Schizosaccharomyces pombe: one gene and its partner. The protein of the gene in region 2 interacts with the protein of the main gene of each other region in a pairwise test. Each region holds a gene or a part of one and is shown on either strand. Other genes may lie near its edges.

The links.
Region 1: the proteins of rpn7 (region 2) and rpn9 interact in a two-hybrid assay, tested with the Schizosaccharomyces pombe proteins (one study listed by BioGRID).

Annotation. Positions count from the first base shown.
Region 1 is NC_003424.3:2,035,762-2,050,557, forward strand, and holds rpn9 (19S proteasome regulatory subunit Rpn9), read left to right. Parts: upstream 1-8,046; 5' UTR 8,047-8,080; coding exon 8,081-8,193; exon of another isoform or gene 8,194-8,247; coding exon 8,248-9,280; 3' UTR 9,281-9,398; downstream 9,399-14,796. Other genes in the region: mitotic cohesin complex non-SMC subunit Psc3, read left to right, coding at 642-906, 952-1,064, 1,103-1,198, 1,247-1,656, 1,707-3,306, 3,355-3,759; SPOM_SPAC607.02C (uncharacterized protein), read right to left, coding at 3,854-4,124, 4,171-4,539, 4,588-4,643; U3 snoRNP-associated protein Snu13, read right to left, coding at 5,175-5,534, 5,685-5,702; arg82 (inositol polyphosphate kinase), read left to right, coding at 6,729-7,535; SPOM_SPAC607.06C (metallopeptidase), read right to left, coding at 9,449-9,484, 9,523-11,274, 11,333-11,383; SPOM_SPAC607.07C (uncharacterized protein), read right to left, coding at 11,938-12,369; protein Mil1, read right to left, coding at 12,660-14,399; btn1 (battenin CLN3 family protein), read right to left, coding at 14,701-14,796. UniProt on the Schizosaccharomyces pombe protein: Acts as a regulatory subunit of the 26S proteasome which is involved in the ATP-dependent degradation of ubiquitinated proteins.
Region 2 is NC_003423.3:429,893-434,549, forward strand, and holds rpn7 (19S proteasome regulatory subunit Rpn7), read right to left. Parts: upstream 1,874-4,657; 5' UTR 1,853-1,873; coding exon 659-1,852; 3' UTR 501-658; downstream 1-500. Other genes in the region: mcp6 (horsetail movement protein Hrs1/Mcp6), read right to left, coding at 1-274; alt1 (putative alanine aminotransferase), read left to right, coding at 2,703-3,120, 3,312-4,111, 4,165-4,419. UniProt on the Schizosaccharomyces pombe protein: Component of the 19S cap proteasome complex which acts as a regulatory subunit of the 26S proteasome, involved in the ATP-dependent degradation of ubiquitinated proteins.

The DNA of each region.
Region 1 (14,796 bases), on a different chromosome or scaffold from region 2:
ACGCGTCCGTGATCCATCACATGCACCAAACGTTACCCAGAATATGTTAAAGTAACAAAACGCGTATTTCAAAGTCATGTTTAAGCATATTTGCAATTACAGATGGGTACAGCCTAAAATTCTTGAGGAATAAATAAAAAGGATAAAAGTTTTCTAATTACTTGTTAATTTTTCATAAAGGATGACTTTCGTATTTCTGCCTATGATATAATGAGCGCTCGAAAAGTTGTCAAATATCTCATTTATTAATAATAATCGAAAATATTACGCGTCAAAAGAATCTTTCACTCACAATTCTATACTTGTATAGTCAAATTACAATCTCAACTCGCGGAGTGAATATAAGTTAGCTGTTCACCTTGCAGGACCCAAAAGAAAATAGTATATATTTGTTTCAATCAAGGTAAAGAAAATTTTAATGTAATAACTTCGTTAAGTATAAATTTCCTTTCGTATCCTTGGATTTTCAAACACATTTATCCTGTCTAACACTATTGAACAAGACAAGTTCGTGCTTTTATCAACTACAGGTTGTGAACAACCTCCATTGTACAACACCAATAGTGCATTCATTACACTCTTTCCAATATTTCTAATTACACCTCTTAATTTATTTATAAATTATTTCTTTTTTTCTTCAAATGAGTGAGTCTGTTACTACTGGATCTGATGATGATGGAGGAGACAGAGAATCTTCCCCTGTAATGCTTTCTCAAAGTTTTGATCCCATGAGCAGTAGTTCAAATTCATCTTCTGAAGAAAATAGCGATGATGATTACGAGAAAACGATAAGCTCAAAAAAACGGCATCCACGGCCAAATTCTAAAGGAGTAAATGTAAAACGCTCTAGGAGGAACGCTATAGTTGAAGAGGATCCTCAAGAAGAAATTTTTAACAACTTATTTGGTAATGATAAAGTCCTTCTTTTTTTCAGCTACTAACACTGAAAAGCTTTTCTGCTTGACCAAAAAGTTGATACCATGGACATCGCGGTTTCGTGGTTTGCTGACTATGCAAAAGATAATCAATCTGCCCTTGCAAATCTTATTAACTTTATTTTAAAGGTAGAGTCATTCTTTTCTTTCTTTACTAAATATTTTAGTGCTGTGGTTGCAATCGTGCCATTAATGTGTTTGATGTTCAGGATCAAGATTCTGCTTCAGCTACTCTATCTCAAATTCAACTTTCTGTAGAGCGTGTAAGTGCTTTTGCGAAAATACTTTATTTGTATATTAACAACTTTAAGACTTCTACTCGTGATTATCCTTTAAATTCAAAAAATCTTAAGTTTAGGAATTTCAGAAAGAGATTGACCGGTCTTTTAAGCAACTTTGTGTCACAGTTGTCAATAAGAAATTACTTGTACAATAGCACTGTTTTTGAAGATATTATGTCTTGGGTCGTTGCCATGTCTTCTTCTACGATGAGACCTATTCGGCACACCGCCACTGTTTTCTGTTTGAATATTATGACTTTTTTATGTGAAAAATCTAAAGAACTATTGAACGAGCATGCAATTGCTACCAAACAGCTCGAGAAAGAAGAAAAGCGCTCTCGTGTAAATAGAAATCGCATCAACGAACTTAATAACAGTCTTGGTGAAATAGTCAAGCAACAAGATACATTGACTACATACTTAAATGACTACTTTGATAGGTAAAGATCCCTCAAACGCTTTAATTTATTTATACTAACCTTTATATTAGTGTCTTCGTCCATCGATATCGAGACGTGGAGCCTAAAATAAGGGTAGATTGCTTACAAGAGCTTGGGGTCTGGATTAATACTGTTCCAAGCATATTTTTTTCAGGAAGTTATTTAAGATACCTAGGATGGATGCTTTCAGACATAAACACTACCGTCAGATTAACTGTAGTTAAAGTTTTGCGCAAATTTTTTGAGACAGATTCATTTATTGGTGGATTAAGACATTTTTCTTCTAGATTTAAAGAAAGAATACTCGAGATGAGTTGTGTGGACGCCGATATTGGAGTTCGTGTAGCCAGCATTCGTTTGTGTAACGCTATGAGGACTTGCGGATTTTTAGAAAATTCTGAAATTTTAAAAGTGCTGAAGCTAATTTTAGATATCAATCCAAGGGTGCAACGTGAAGCCGTACTGTTTTTATGCAAAGTGGTTGACGAAAGTGTGAATGAAAAAATTGATTTATGGGGTGAAGAAGACTATATTCTAAAGGCCTTTTCTCAGACTTCACTTACTACATTTTCAGTTCATTGGATAAAATTTTCCCAAATGTGTAAACTTTTGGAGGAGGTTAGATTGTCTTACCAATCGAGCTTTGATTATGATACATTATTACGAATCTTCCAAAAAAATGGTAATTTCATTACTCCTATAACACAAGCTTTACTTAATGCATGTGAAATTGATTCAATCTATCAGTCATGGGAGGATATTAGCAACTTCGTACTTTTTGATAATTATACCTCGACTCTAAAAGATCCGATAGACAGTATACTTTCTTTCTGCAAGCTAAATGATTTTCAGGAATCTATTCTTTTACAGCTTCTCTCTGCTTCAATCCAAACTGTCTGTAATAACAATTTTATCACACCTAAAACGGTGCATAATAAGCAAGCGGCGGAAACGACCAACGATCAAAATAAAGATAAGGACTTACTTTATTTGAATCTTCTTCCTTACATTAATTCAATAACTGAGAGAAATTCTGCTTCACCAACACTTCTTCATGATTCTCTTCGTTTGTTATTCTCAATGGATTTGACAGAAATGACAGACCCTCAACTTTCCAGACATTTTGAACTTCTAATTAATAATTTAAAAAAATTTTTCCTAACCAATAATGATCTTCAAATTATTCAAGGTTGCACGATATTATTTTTACGGTTGGACTCTATTCCTGCTTTGAAAGAAGATTTGAAGCTTCTGGTTACTGACATTTGCGACCAGACGGTAACCGAATTTTTAAAGAATTTTGGATCTTTTAATATTCAAGATGCTGTAATAACAAAAGATGAATTTGTTATTTTTGAAGCTTGTTTAACAAGAATCGAGGGATGTACCTCTCTCAAAGATTTTTCTGACTATCCTGAGTTTGACATAATATATGAAAGGCTTGTTTCGCTTCTTTCGCGGGTTCCTAATAGCTATGAAGATACATTGAAGTTTTCTGCAATTAATACTTTACAGAGTCTATTGTTTTGGTTCTTTCTAAGGAAGGATAACCCTGCTGATGAGGAAAAAAAGAAGGATGATGAGACTAAAGTTTTTAATTGTTTGATTAATATTATGAATAATGACAGCTCTAAAATTTTGCAACTTCAGGTATACAAAATCAACTTATTATTTGATTTAAGAAACTAACTTGACCAGGCAGCCCGAACTTTTCTGGAAACAGTGATAATGAAAGAAGGTGTTAAAGCATCACATTACAACGATGACAATCGTGTATCTGAGGAGCATAACTTTTTAAAACCTCAATTTTTAGATGCTCTTTTAAAAATACTTGAGGGATGGTTATACACATATGCCAAAGTTGGTCAATTCCCCTTCAAGCGTTTGACTCAAGCAAGTTCTCCACATACACAAATTTCTTTGGACAAAAATCCACTTAATAGAAGGCTATTGGAACATGTATGTTGCGATTTGACTAGTAAATTATTAATAGTTGTTTCATTGTCAAATACGATAACACCAGAATTTTCACAACAGTTTTGTGAACTAAGAGGGCACTATGGACCGAAATTATCTGCTATTGTGGATGAGTTTTTGAATTAATTAAATTTAGATTTAATGCCTGCTGTATATTTAAAGTAATTAATTATTTTTAAGTCAGCATTAGAAATAAATTCTTTTTTCATTATTAAAAAGATTATTTCCGCTTGGTTTTCATTAATTCTCTATATTTCTCTATAAGTTCCAAACGCTGCTTTCCTAGAGCTTGGCGTCGTGCCATAGATTCTGTTTGACCCATATTATTAACTTTGGGAACATTTTCCAAGTACTTTGTCTCTTTAATTTTTAATTCCGGAAGTTCAGGAGGAGCTTGCACAGTTTCTCCAAAGGAAGGTTTTGTTTGTAAATTAGCCCACGGATCAGGCGAATTTTTTCGTTTTTTTCTAGACTCAATTTGGATAAATTGTCTAATATGTTAGTTTATACGAAATGAAATTGGTGATATACACATACCCAGTAGTATCCGCCTCCCATGTTTTATCTTCAAAATTTTCCTCAATTTCATTCCAGTCTCTTTCACGCTTCTCTTTTCTTTTCGCTATTTTTTTCTTTTCTTTTTTATCAGTAAATTCGTCTATTTTGCTCGGCCCAGACTTAAAAGATACTGGAATAGCCTTATTTACGCGCTGACTAAATTCACTAAGGCGTTCACCGGGTAATCTTTGAATTTTCCCATAATCTTTTTTTTTCTTATTTTTAAGGTTGCCTTTCTTTATTTCCTTCTTTTTAGATTCATGGTACTCTTTTTGCTGTAGCAATCGCTTGAATTGCTTTGGGAAGTTGTCATCTACACTTTCATCCTCCTTGGGAGCATGATCGAGTCTATTAACCAAATGTTAGTAAAAACATCTTGCTATAGAAATTTTTTACCCAATCTTTTTCCGTTCAGCCTCAAGAACGGACCTTTTCTTAGTCTTAGTAGGCATATTGCGCTTGGATAGTAAACACAAACGAGAAGCAAGTAATAAAGGAAAATAGCGAGCCTAGCTCGTATCGCAATTTAGATAAATTTGGATTTGTTTTAATAGATACTCATGGGATAACAGTAAAGTTTATTAATGAATACAAATATCTTTTTTTATTTTAGTGGACAAGCTGTAACGCTTTAGAGAGAAAAAATTTCAGAATCAAGTTGGAAGCAAGCTTAGTGAAGATACTTTTCGAATCATACACGAAAAATATATTAAAAAATATATATATCAAACACCAAATATACACTATCTTTATTAAAATCGTAATGCTCTTATATGTAAACACTCAACTATCTTTCTTGTTGAGTATTTTGCGAGCTAATTAATAAAAATTAAAATGACTACAAACAGAGTACTTGAAATTATATAGAAAGCGAAACAGTACAAAATTACAATAACAAAATAAAAAATTCGATAACAATCTGCTTCCATAAGAATCAAATTTTATTCTCGATTAAAAGAAAACTGTTCCCAAAATCCAAAAGTTTAGATGAGCAATTTCTCTATTGCCAATTTAATAGCTTGAATTTGAGGAAGTAAATCACTAGCCTCATTGGTAGTAATGCTGGCTGAAATCACCGGTCTACTTACACCACAAGCACGTCCCAAAGCAGCCTTGCTAGGAACAAAAACATAAGGCACATTCTTGTCCTCACAAAGCAATGGCAGATGCAATAAAATCTCTATGGGCTCGGTATCAGCCGCCATTACTATAAATTCACTAATACCACGGTTCAAGGTTTTGGTAGCCTCATTTGCACCTTTGCGAAGCTGCTTGTAATGAGAGGCCTGTTGTACCAAGTCGAGAATTTGTTGGGTTAAGCCAGAATCGGCTAAAGGAAAGGCCTAACAATGTTAGTATGCAATAAAACGAATATAAATTTCGGAAAAGTTCATTTTCCGTAATAAAATTGCCGACGAAACTAGCATTTGAAACTAGCATGCTTTCAGCTATTTCGTAGCCAAAGAAGAAGTCTTATACCATTATTAACATACCTTTGGGTTAACTGACATTTTTTCGGGTTCCTTGCTGTAAAAAGTAGTATCTGACCTACAATGGTGGTTGCTCGCCCTTGCTAAGAAATTTTCTTTAGTAAACTTCACTTTAGCTGTAGTCCAAAAGTACAAGTAACAACATCAACGTTAGTCGATCCTTCGATCAATGTAACTTGGAAAATTAATCCAAATTTGCTTAAATTTGGAATTCTAAGAAATTTATGCACATTAATAATCTTAATTGTTTCTTGGCATTACACTATGAATATGGAGGACTCAAAACTATAAATCAGATTGGTGAGTTTATTTCTATTGAGCAGGCATTCTTCAATTGGACATTGTTTACCATATTTAACAGAATATAATAACATTAAAAAAAGTTGGAACTGCATATCTGATTGAGAGCTGTATTGTTATATAGTCTATGGACTTAGCAAAAAAGAAGTTGCTAATAATCTACTATTTAACTTTTAAATTTTAGCAAAGTACATATAATTTGTCCTAAAAAAAAAAAAAAAAAAAAAAAAAAAAAAAAAGCCCTGGTACATACTATTGAAAGTGTGTAAATTGTAATTTAGCTAAAATATTTTCCCTTAGTGGTTTGGAATATAGGTTTTTAATAATATTATAATTTATAAAAACTTTGCAAAACACTTTCTAAATAATATCCAAAAAAGTTTATACTTTCTGTTAAATTCATACTTCGATCTCCAGGCTACAACTTTATCTACTGTAAAAAAAGCTGAATAAATTAACAGCGAGTACATACACATTTGGATATGTGTTTAGGAAATTCATTGTTTTATATTATTAGATAAAATTTTACACTTATTTATTCAGCTCATATAACCTGCATGTTCGTGCAAGCAGTGGAAGTGGTTGATATAGCTCTACACTATTTCAATTCATTCTACATTCCGCTTACCCAACAGCTGTCACATCGAAAATAACGCTTCAGCATATTGCTAAACGCGTATTGCAATTTTCAAGAAATATACTTTTGACGAAAAAACATGTACTAGCGGATTTTTTCTTTAACTCTTGATGAAACTAAAACTGTTTCCATTTCAAGCTGCTGGTCATGGCCAAGTACTAGTCAGTGAGGATGATAAAATTCTAATTAAGCCATGCATTAAAAGTGAAGTTGATTTTTATAAAACATGTAACGACAATATTACGCTCTACAACTGGATTCCTAAGAATTTCGGTGAGTGGATGCCTTCTAGTAGAGACATTGAGGGTATCAACCCGATCGCAGAAAGTGTTGCTTTTTCCTTAACTGGAAAAGCTATAATCTTAGAAAATATTCTGTATCAGATGGAAACTCCTTGTGTCATGGATATCAAATTAGGAAAACAGTTGTGGGCCGATGACGCTCCTCTTGAAAAACGAAAAAGATTAGATGCCGTTTCCAGAAGTACGACGAGTGGTAGTCTTGGATTTCGTATAACTGGTATATTGTCGTGGGACAGAACAAACAATACGTACATTAAACGATCAACAGCTTGGGGTAAAACCCTTACGGATTCAGATGTCGTAGAAGGCTTAAATGATTTTTTTGTCTCTTGCTCTCTTTCTCAAAAAGCAAGGTTGGTTGAAAGCTTCCTTAATTTATTGAAATTATTTGAAGTTGATCTTTCTGAGTCTTATATTGAATTAAAATCTTCTAGTATTCTTTTCGTTTATGATTACTCTTCCCTAAATCCAACGTATCATTGTGAAAGCAATGTAGTTCTCAAGCTGATAGATTTGGCACATTCTAGATGGACGAAAAACACTATAGACCATAACACATTAATTGGGGTTAAAAACTTAATTCACTGTTTTGCGATGCTCCTGAAGAATGAATAATTGAATACTGACATGATAAATTCCTTTAAAAGAAAAGTAATTTTTTTAATCATTGCTGGTTAAAGCTAATTAATTTATCTGTATAGTATTCCACTATAACTATTATAAAAATGATACCTTATTTATTTTTTTGAGTGATCGTGAAGTATTGATTTGTTATAGAAAAGAAAATAATTTTTATTCTTCGTTTATTTTATGAAAATTTTCAGAAAGGTTATCTACCCTTTTTATTTTTGGTAAGATAAAGATCTTATTCCACAAACGAACTACTTAAAAAACAGTCAGTTTTCTCTTAATAAAATAGTTCGTTTACTTATAGAAGTTTGCTTTATACCTTGCGTTGTTTTCATAGAGGTTACTAAAGCATGCTTTACTTATATGCTTTCAAATACGCTTTAACTTTTTTTTTAATAATAATTTTAACTAACATAATGAAAATAAAATAAATATGCTTATATTTCTCCATTTACCTAAAGTTTCAAACAGTAGTAATATGACTTGAGCACTTGCCATCAGCAAACAACTACTCCACGAAGGATTTCATCATGGATACCGAAATGTCTGTCAATATGTCTGATTTTTTACACGATCAAGCTACAAGAGCTCCAGAAAGCCTTCAGCAATCCTATATTTTAATGGAAGACCTTTATGAAAGGAAGTATGTTGTAAAAGTGCTTTAGAAGAAAATGAACTTTACATTAACTGACGCCAGATTATGGAAACAACTTACAGATGCTTTGATTGTTTTCTTTGATACCCCAGAAACAGTACCTTTAAGGCTTCCTTTGTATACGAACTTTGTCAACTCATTTCGACCTAATATCAATCAACTCAAAGCAGTGTACATGGGCTTAAAGGCTTTTGAGTCATGTTCTAACGACGAAGCCCTTCGTAATTTAAACCAAATTGTTAACGAATTGGATGAAGAGAAATATAAAGATGCCTATGTATATTCCATTGTTGCCATTGCTCGCATCAAGCTGATTAGTGGTAAGTTGGATGAAGCCCGGGAACTACTTGTCAAAGCCTCAAAAATTATCGACCACATTGATTACGTAGAAAGTCTTATTCATTCTTCATATTATAGCGTCAGTGCAGACTACTACAAGGCAAAGGCTGATTATGCTCAATACTATCGTCATTGTCTATTGTATTTATCTTGCATCGACCTCGATAAATGCTCTCATACCGAGTTAGTTGAAAGAGCGGTGGATCTAAGTGTTGCCGCAATACTCGGTGATATTTATAATTTTGGTGAATTATTATTACATCCTGTTTTCGAGTTGCTAGTAGGTACACAGCACGAGTGGTTACATGATTTAGTCATCGCCATGAATGTCGGAGATTTACCTTTGTTTGAACGCTTAATGGGGCAAATTAACAAAATGCCTTTACTGCAAAGTTCGGTTGCTTTACTAGGTCAAAAAATTCGTTTAATGGCCCTCATTGAGTTGGTCTTCCAATTACCTCCAAATCAGCGTACTTTAACATTTGATACAATTGCTCGTGCAACCCGTATTCCTTCTAATGAAGTTGAGTTACTCATTATGCGTGCTTTAAGCGTAGGGCTTATAACAGGTGTTATAGATGAGGTTACCCAAATTGTCACCATTTCTTCCGTCCAATCTAGAATTTTAAATCACTCGCAAATTGCAAGCATGGAATCTCGTCTACGAGAATGGAACCAAAATATTAAGAACCTTTCTAATGTGGTTGAAATTTCTGGAAAAGGTGTTTTCGTTTGATGACTACAAAACTCATTGTTTAAAAGACAAGACATGCTATAAAGTAAATAGAACTATTTTTCTATACATTATTATACATTTCAGTGTAGTAATTTTATTAGTTGTAAACATGGTACGTAATTTCATTCTCCTTAAGCAATTGTATTCAATTAGTATTCAGAATTCAAGCTACTTAATAAAAAACCCAATTGAATCCATGAATGGCTATTAATGTTAGATCAATAATATAAAAAAAAACTTACCCCTAATGTGCCATAAAACCCGACTAATTGAAAACCTTTTGGGACTAAATAGCTTTTCAACCCACCCCCGTTAGCATTTCCATAAAATGGACTTGTTTTACCATTTTCTAAAACAATGGATATCCCATCCACCCAGGCTCCACAACGTATTTGAAAGCCTACAATTTGGGAGCCTTGTATTTCAAAATCGTGAGGGCTTCCACCACGGTTACCAAGAAGAACTGATTCATCACCAAAAAATACTTCAATTCCATCCAAAGCTAAACCACAATGAACACGAATTTTAGTAGGCTTAAACTTTTCAGGTGCTATTAAAATATTTGATAACTCTTTCCCATTACAACCTCGCAAACCATATCTTTCAGATCGATAAACAGTTCCAAAAGACGATTCAACCTTCGCATTTTTTATAATTTCAGGTACATTGTTTAAATCAATACATTTGAAATTTCTGGATAGAACGCGAACACGATAATCTTGATTGGAGCTTGCATTTGAAAGAGAGCGTATTTCAGCATCAGTTAAAGAAGCTTCTCCGACTGGAGGATTAAACTCCTTCCAGCCCTTGGTCTGTCCATTGTATTCAATTTCAATTAAAAAGATTCCAGTCGAATTGACAAATGTGATAGTTTCTCCTTTAACAAAGTAGTTCGTTTCAATGTCCGACGGATATGTAGGGTCTGAAGGTAGTTTAAAGCACGGATGATAAAAAAACCTTAACATGTCAAGATGGTGCCAAGAACATTCATCTTTTGCAAGCACTGGGGCAAGACCTTTACTTCCAGTTCTAACACATTCAAATTCTCTTGTCGTAAAACTGCGGTTAAATATTGGATATGATCGCAACATGATTCCATCTGGTTGATGAGGACAACCAAGTGTATGTCCTAACTCATGAAGCATAGCGCCTATCCCTATATTCGCACATTCCCAAATCGTAGAACTTTCATTTGCATCATTTGCCAAGTAAGAAGGGATTCTACGGGCATCACTAAAGACAGGTACAACATACTCAAGTGCACTAGGAAAAGAATGTAACGAATGGGAACCAAACACTCCAAGTTTGTGCATGTCTGTACCTCCACCTAAAGCTACATGTCCACGAATTTTTTGAGTAGAAGGATCATATCGTGTATCCAAGAACATGCACATATAATGCCAAGGCTCAGGAAGATGTAGTTTGTCGACAGCATCTCCAGCTATATGAAACAATTGATCTGGAGGAACCGATCGAATCTCTTCTGCTGTTTTATCACTTCGCAGAATATTTATAGTGGCTGTTAACCTTTCGGTGCCCCAAGGGGACAAACAAGACATTGTGTCGGGTTGCACACTTTCCTCAATTCTAAAAGAACGTCTTCCATAACCATTTCTATACATACATTCAGCGGTGAAAGCTTGCCATAAGTAAGCAGCGCATCTGAGTTTACGGATGCCCTCATCAATATCATTTTTGGCACCGTGAGGTGCATCAAATGAAAGGTCTGAGTCTTTTCCAACTATAAAGGCGATACAATAGAAAGGATTATCAACAAGTAATTGGTAATAAACCTGCAATTCTAGTTTACCTCCATCGTCCGTAGTAAATAGTATGGTATTGTCTCCGGGAACGACGTGAATGATAGCTTTAAAATATAAGTCTGTAACTACCCATGTTTGTTCTGGAAATGAATTTTCGTGATGCTTCACATTGATTGTTTGTGGGCAATAACTTGCACGAGGTCCAACTCTACCATGTATAATAACAAATCTCTAAAATTAGGCATCTATATTAGTACAATTATGAAAATAACATTGAAAACACTCGTACATTGTATACAGTTTCGTTTTGGGATATATTGTCTAAAATGATCTGACTCATGCTGGCTCTTGACAAACGCGTGTGCAGTACATTCTATATTTATTTCGAATTGACTTAGACTAATGTCACAAAACATATAAATTATTTACATATTTATTCAAATTTATAAATTTAATATACACGACATCATATAAAATACAAAACATAATATAATCGCGTTTTTTGAACAATAAAATTACAGCATCGGTTGATTGAGTCTTTGGCAGTGGGTATACTGAGAGACCAATAATTATTTAAAATTCTAGCTGAATAATAAACTTTTGTATGCTTTACGGAGACAGTAGACGTCCAAATTAACTATTGAAGACTTATATAAGTACAATGAATTAATGGATTATTTATTTTAATGATTGTAAATAAATATTTAGAAAAAGAGGAGTGCAAAACTTATTAAACGATGATTGTGTATGTTATGGCTCAAGATTTACAGAAAAATCTAGCAGAGTAAAAGCGATACTTTCAGGATCAAAGCACGTCCTTAGTATCAAATATGTACGCATGACGATAGATACACCGGCCTAAAAAAGAGGACTAGGTTTAAGAACTTAATCGCTTTATTCTTGTACATATGGAGAGTTTTTGTCATTGAATGGAGATGCGGATACTTGACTTTGAGTCTCTGCATTTTCACCACTTTGTCGTGAGAAAGATGAAGACAGTCTGGGAGGAGGGGCTTCGGTATTTACAAAAGGTACTGTCTCTGATGTGTGATCTATAAATGGAGAAGCAGAAGGAATAGTATTAAGCTCTGCTTCTTCAACCCTTGTATCCCACATGTCGTCTGCATCCAAGGCTTCAAACTTAGCGGAATTGGAAAAAGGGTTCTTCAGAAAGTTCCAGGTTTGAGAAGACTTTACAGAACTAACATCAGCTGTCATCATATTTCTTCTCCGAATAGAATTAATTAGTCGTAAGACACCATATGCAACAAATAAGAAAGCAATCGAGCATATAATTGACAATGCTACAATGCCAAACGTCCCCATGATGAACCAATTTATCTAAAAGAATTTTTCAAACAGTTTTCATAAAATTTTCTTTCAACGTTTGAAAATTAGAAAGAAGAAACTTGGGGTACAATACAACAAAATTAAGTACGCAAGATGGTGCAAAATCCAAAAGAGAGTAATGAGGTGCTTTAAAGATCAAATTTCCCTTGAATGTCCTTATAACAATTTAACGCAAATTTGGGAGTCCGTTATTATCATTAAAACAAAATATAATAAAACATGTTTTCGTGTAATTCAATGATGTTAAACATTTTGAATTTTTTTCCTCACTTTTTATTTTCTCGTACCTCATTCACCTCATCTTCTTTCTTCTGTATAGCTAACTCAGTATCGCTAGAGGCGTCAAAAAGTACTTCTTGCTCAATTTCCTCTTCTTGCTCTTTTTGAGAATAATAGGTTCTTTGCTTCGATTCGTATTTTTCTTCCTGTACTGCAAGCGATTGAATCTCAGCATCAGAAATGTTATCATACCCAAGACGTTCTTTCAAAATTTTGGCAACCAACCATCTATACTGCAAATGACCTTCAACAAGATCCCCCACATCGACATTTTCTAAAGTATTTGAATCAAGAGAAACTGGTCCAAGACCAGCAGCCGTAGATTGCGCACTGTTGACACGATACACTAATTGTAGTACATAATCAGAAGCAGAATAGACATTTACGAATCTCCCAGCGACAACGCATCTCATTTTAAGCCATAACTTAGCGTCAGTCGGCATAGGGGCGCCCATTACTATCACATTTTCAACTAGATTCGTCTCACCACGGTCAGCCAAATGTAGTAAACACTCAAGAATTGTACGTGCACCAAGCGAAAACCCAATTAAAGTCACTGGACGCATACCCTGAGCTCTAACACAAAGCGCATTGGCTAAAGCTTCACCGGCTTTGATGGATAAATTAAATGCAATTCTCCAGGAATTGCCTAAAATATTTCCGACTTTCAAAAGTGATAAAGGCCATAAAGCAGCAGCAAGAGGAGCTAATATCGTTCTACTAATAACCTCTCCCTTTACCCAGCCAAGTCCAGCAGAAAATAAGATTCTGGAAAGAGATTTTCCAAGATCAACTAAAGCTTCAACTTCAAATTTCAAAGCATATATGTCTCCCCAATAATAACTTTTATCTCCAACAGTTAAAGATTTCCAAGCAGCGTCTACTTCGTTATAATCCCCAAGCCATCCTGAGATTCCAATGGTAACCGGTAAATGCGATTGCACACTGAGAGGTATGAATTCAAAATCAGTGAGTCCCTTAGATACATCCCCCATCTGTTGCATACTCATTTTGGCTCCAAAGCCTCCAAACAGAGCAGTGATCATTGGTGCCGAAGTAATCAAAGTGCCAAGATAGGTTGCTCCAATCATAGTTCCCAAACCTAGACCAGCAAATAACGTCCCTAACCCAGCTGCAACAAAAGGTGCAGCTAGTCCACCTGTTAACCCAATAAGAGCTCCACCTGCCAGTCCAGCGAGACCCATTGCAATCCGTCTTCTCATTTTTCGGGTGCCCGAAAGTTCATACATTTCTTGATTGCTTTCCATAGTTTGAAAAGTATCTAAAAGCATAGAAGAGGTGATAAGCTCAGCCTTATAAACCACGATAGAGGACAAGCCCAACTTCTCTGCAATACTATATAATAAATTACGGGAATAAGGAGAATAATTACCCAATGAAAGAATCAATAACAGTAGACATTTAATAAAGCACTCGCTTTTCTCTGTTTCGGAAAACTGCCGAAATTTTTTTACTTCTACTTGATCCTTTGGAGTAGAGGGATCCAGTGCGCAACCTGTGCGATTTACAACTGCCATTGCCCAAGTGTCGAAGTTTTCTCTAAAGACGTCCAATAATTGAGAAAGATATTTTACTATTTCAGGATCCGTGTTATCGATTATTGACTCTTTCTTCTCTCGCATTTCACCAATTGTACTAGCAATTAAAATTGTATAACGAGTACAAGCATCATCGTCAAATAAGGATATGATTTTCTGTTCTGCCATATTATCTAAAAGAAGGAAGATATGAAAAGGAAAAAATTAAGTAATGTATGTTTTGATATGATTCGCATAGAATGCACAGCAGAAAGTAATTGTGCACCAAAAGTTTAAGAACTTCTGGTATCAGGAATTAGGAATGAAAAACTTCTTCTTTCAAAGCAAACCTATTAAGAACTAAAAAAGTAAACAATAGTTGAAAGAAAATGGTCGTAAAGCAAACTTGATATTGAAGCACTTAGCACACTAATGGAAGAAACGTCATAGGTTAACTCTCAATATAATGGAGATGTGCGCACTCACTATTTCAAGTTAAGGCACACCAATCTCGGCCACGATCAGCTTGGAAATGGCACAAGGAGGGTTCAAGGAATAGTGATACCAATGAAGCTAAAAAAATTCC
Region 2 (4,657 bases):
CCCGTTCCTGCTCTCCTATCTTACTTTCCAAACTTTCGATTTGTAGCGTACGTTGAGTAGAATCGCGCTCAAAAGCATCAATTATTTCTTTAGCAGTCATTTGTAGCTTCTGAAATTGAATTGTTTTATCTGAGACATTCTTTTCATAATCATCAAAATACTGAAAACTCTTCTGCTTAATAGACTTCATCTCGCTAACACTTTGAACAGGCGATGAAGCTATGAAAGTCGAATCTTCAGCCGAGGCGAGAGAAGCCTCTTCTTGATATTCCATATTAAATCAATCTGTTAATCTCTTAACCTTGTATTGTTTCAAATCTTTTCGCTACGAATTAGTGTCACTAACATACGAAATGTTGTTGGTAAATGGAACGCGTCGCAGGCTCATCAAACAACATTGTATTTACGAGTGAAGAAACATTTGAGATATACGTAAACACCACCAAAAATTGCACAACTATCTATTTAGTCCCTAATAATAGTTGAATAAAGATTCGTATGCTTTAATCATTTCTACATTTCGTTTACAAATAATGTTCATGGCACCAAAACTTAATACCGTTTCATATTATTACTTTTCAAATGTTTAAACCAGACAATATAGATAAACGATACATGCATTGAACCATATTTCATTAAACGTAGGCACTGAGTTAAATTATACCTTAAAGGCACCACGCATAACAGTGGCTTGGTATTTTTGGAGTTTGTTAAGTAAAACATCACCCTGCTTAACAACCTCTTGGTATTGACGGTTTTTTTCATCAGGACGGTTTGTAAATACAACACCGTTGACTCGATCAATTACACAGTTCAACTTGTTGTCTGGGATAAATGACGCCAAATCGCGATCGATATAATCAACAGATACGCCAAAGGAAGCGGCCATGGAATCGATACTGAGAGCACGGTAAGATTCAAGTAACTGGGCGTAAGCACGTCTTCTCATTTCACGCACATAGTATCTATAATGGGCGACAAGAAATTGATCACATTTAAGATGATTAACTTCAACATCGGCCAAGGTTCGAAAAAATCCGGAATAGTCACATAAGTACAAGCTGTTGATACATGCTTCCAAACTAGACATTGATTCATTTTGAGGTAGCACGGCAAGCACTTCAGGTGAATCAACGATTTTGGTCTTGACATCAACACGATCTAAAGAAATTGCACCAGAAATCACGGCATATCGAACGACGTCGTAATATGGAAGTAGTTCGGTGGAAGAGAAAGTTGACATACAATCCAAGAGAAGGTCGGCGGCACCAGAAAAATTACGGATTGACATCAAATATATGCCTTGGTAGGCCTTTAATCGATTTTTCCTCTCCCAATCACCTCCCTTTTCAATAAGTGGCTTTAATTTTTCCAATAATTGACCAACGACCCTCATATCAGCATACACGTATGCCAAACGGATTTTGGAAAAAAGAACATCAATCTTCATTCCGGTCAATGTTGCTCGTTCAAAAGTTTCATCGCATAACTGTACACCACGTTCTCTATCGCATATATTCGTATAATAATCAGCTTTGTTTTTCATGGCTTCTAAAATTTCATGTTCTCCATTAAGTTCTTGGGCATCTTCGATCGCTTTGTCAAACTCTGCTAACTTTTCTTCATTTTTCTTTATCATACTATTTAAAAAATTACTATCAAAATCAATACTTGCCGATGTTTTAGGGTTCTCTGAAAGATATTTATAAAGTGGAGCTAAATCATGATCACGAATGGCAGAAAAAAGCGTATCCAAAGCCTTTTGGCTCTTATTCTCAAGGAATGGCGAGGAAAGCTCGAAAATCGCTTGCGAAATGGTCAAATCTGATACGGTTCTTGCCTTTTCTGTCATGGTGCGGTGTGTGAGTGTTGCAGAGGGAGAACACATATCAACAGCTAACTAAACTACATATTGTACATTTCACTCATCTAAAAGTTAGTAAAATGTTAATTTTTTGTAGTTTATTTAAATTTCAAATATAAATTTAATTCAAACAACTAAAGAGAAAAAGTTCTTTTTCTACTTTTCAACTTCCACTGTTCCTTATGTTCTAGTAACATGTTTTAATTAAATTTTATTAGAAACGAATCTTAAAACTCGTAAATTTTATTCTTTTCAATTCTTTTTTGTGAAATATGCCATTCTGAAAAGTCAAGTGCTTGAACATTCCATCAGTCTTCTCGAAACTTGTAAATCGTTAAATTAATTTAATTAACCAAATTCTATAAGACAAAAAAGTTAAGCAAATAAGCAAGCATCTCTTCTATACCTCTGTTTTTACATCGTTCTAATTTTTTGGTTTACACGACATGTAGCATAGGTTGGGGCTTACTAAAGGAATTCAAATAATTTTTCGCATTGAATATTGCTTACTTAATATATATAAAACAAACAAAAATGGTTTATTAGAATATCATATTTAAGCCTGTATAATCCGGTTAATGGAAAATAAAAATATAAAAATAACGGAAACGTTGTCATTCACTGAGTATTTTTTAGGAGCTATTTTTTCTCTGTTCATTATGCTAAGTTAGTGAAAAAATTAGTATATGTAATATAAGTGAATACAGTGAGCGGTTGATAAGTATCTCCAAATAAAATACAGTAGAAAGAGTGAAGTACATAATATCAAATAACGATTATCTACTTTATATTTATGTTTACAGATTATCCAAATGATATTAACTGTGAGTCTCCAAGAATGTCGGACCTTGATGGATTTTGTCAAAATGCGTTCTCAGACCTTAATTCTTTGAATCAACAAGTATTTAAGGCAAATTACGCCGTCCGTGGAGCTTTAGCCATTCTTGCGGACGAGATCCAAGATGATTTACTTGAAAATCCTTCTTCATATCCTTTCAGTGAGATCGTCTATGCAAACATCGGTAATCCTCAGCAGATGGGACAGTCTCCTATTACATTCGTTCGACAGGTTTTATCTCTTTGCCAGTACCCTACCTTGTTAGACCATGCTGAGGAAAAGTGGTTTCAAAATTTGTTCCCTACGGATGTCGTACAACGATCCAAAATGCTCTTAAAGGAATCTGGAAGTTTGGGTGCCTATAGTGCTTCTCAAGGTATTCCGCTTGTAAGGCGACATGTTGCGGATTTCATTAGAGGTAAGCATTTTAAGAAGAAAGAGTGAAGATCGTCGGACACAGAGACAATTCGCAGACTGTATTAAGAAATTTAGCAAAAATACTGCAACCCATTAAAGCTGCTAGGGTCTTGCTCGATAAAAAATGATTTTAGACTCCGCCATTCATTCTTTTTTCTTTTTATCTTTACACATTTTCTAATTATATTTTAGCGAGAGATGGATTTGATTGCGAGCCATCTGACATATATTTGACTAGTGGTGCCTCACACGCTGCCCGGCTTATAATGACTTTGATAATCGCTAGGCCAACAGATGGTGTAATGGTTCCCGCTCCTCAATATCCTTTGTACGGTGCCCAAATTGATCTCATGAGTGGATCTATGGTATCTTACAGCCTCTCCGAGGAAAATAATTGGGACATTGATTTTGACCAATTTAAAAAATCATTTGATGAAGCATCTAAAAAAGGTATCAACGTTCGTTTATGCGTGGTTATTAATCCCGGTAATCCTACTGGAGCTTGCATTTCTGAAAATAGCATGGAAAAAGTTTTGCGCTTTGCTAAGGCAAAGGGCATAGTATTGCTTGCCGACGAAGTCTATCAAAACAATATTTACCAAAACAAGTTTCATTCTTTTAGGAGAAAACTTGGTGAATTAAGAGAAAAGGAACCCGACAATCATTGGGACCAAGTTTCGCTTATTTCCGTAAATTCTGTTAGCAAAGGTCAATTTGGTGAATGTGGTCAAAGAGGTGGATATTTGGACGTTGTTAATATTCCAGAGCCCGCTAAGGATCAAATCCTCAAACTAGCTACCATTGACATTTGTCCACCAGTTGCTGGTCAATTATTAGTAGACATGCTAGTAAATCCTCCTAAACCTGGTGATCCCAGTTATGATTTGTTCATCAAAGAAGTTGATGAGATTCATGAAGCACTGCGTTTACAATGCCGTCAGCTCTACGAGGGAACAAAGCGCATGAAGAGAGTTTCATGTTTAGAACCCCACGTAAGTAAAATTTGCATTATGTTTTCATTTCTTTACTAATTCATATTTTCAAGGGGGCCATGTATTTGCATCCCAGCGTCTCACTTCCCGAAAAGTTAATCACTACAGCCAAAGCTCAGAAAATTCAACCTGACGAATTCTATGCGATAGAATTGCTTAAGCGTTCAGGTATATGTGTTGTTCCTGGAAGTGGATTTGGGCAACCAGAAGGTGATTATCATATTCGAATCACGTTTTTGGCTAAAGGAACTGAATACATTGAACGATTTGTCAAAGCTCATAATGAAATAATGGACCTCTATGAATAATTTTTTGGTTATATTTTTGATTTTGGTATCCTCAAAGGAGACAACCTTTATTGATTTTTGAAACTATTCCCTTACTACTATTCACATTTCTTTTCACTCGAAAAGTACATTTATGTTGAGTAAACGAGACCCAACCCATGTTTATTTTAGTATTCCATATTTGAATTATTAACTTGTTAAGTAATATTCTATCTCTCTTTTCATCTTGTTCACACATATTTGAGCTGTTTTATTGTAA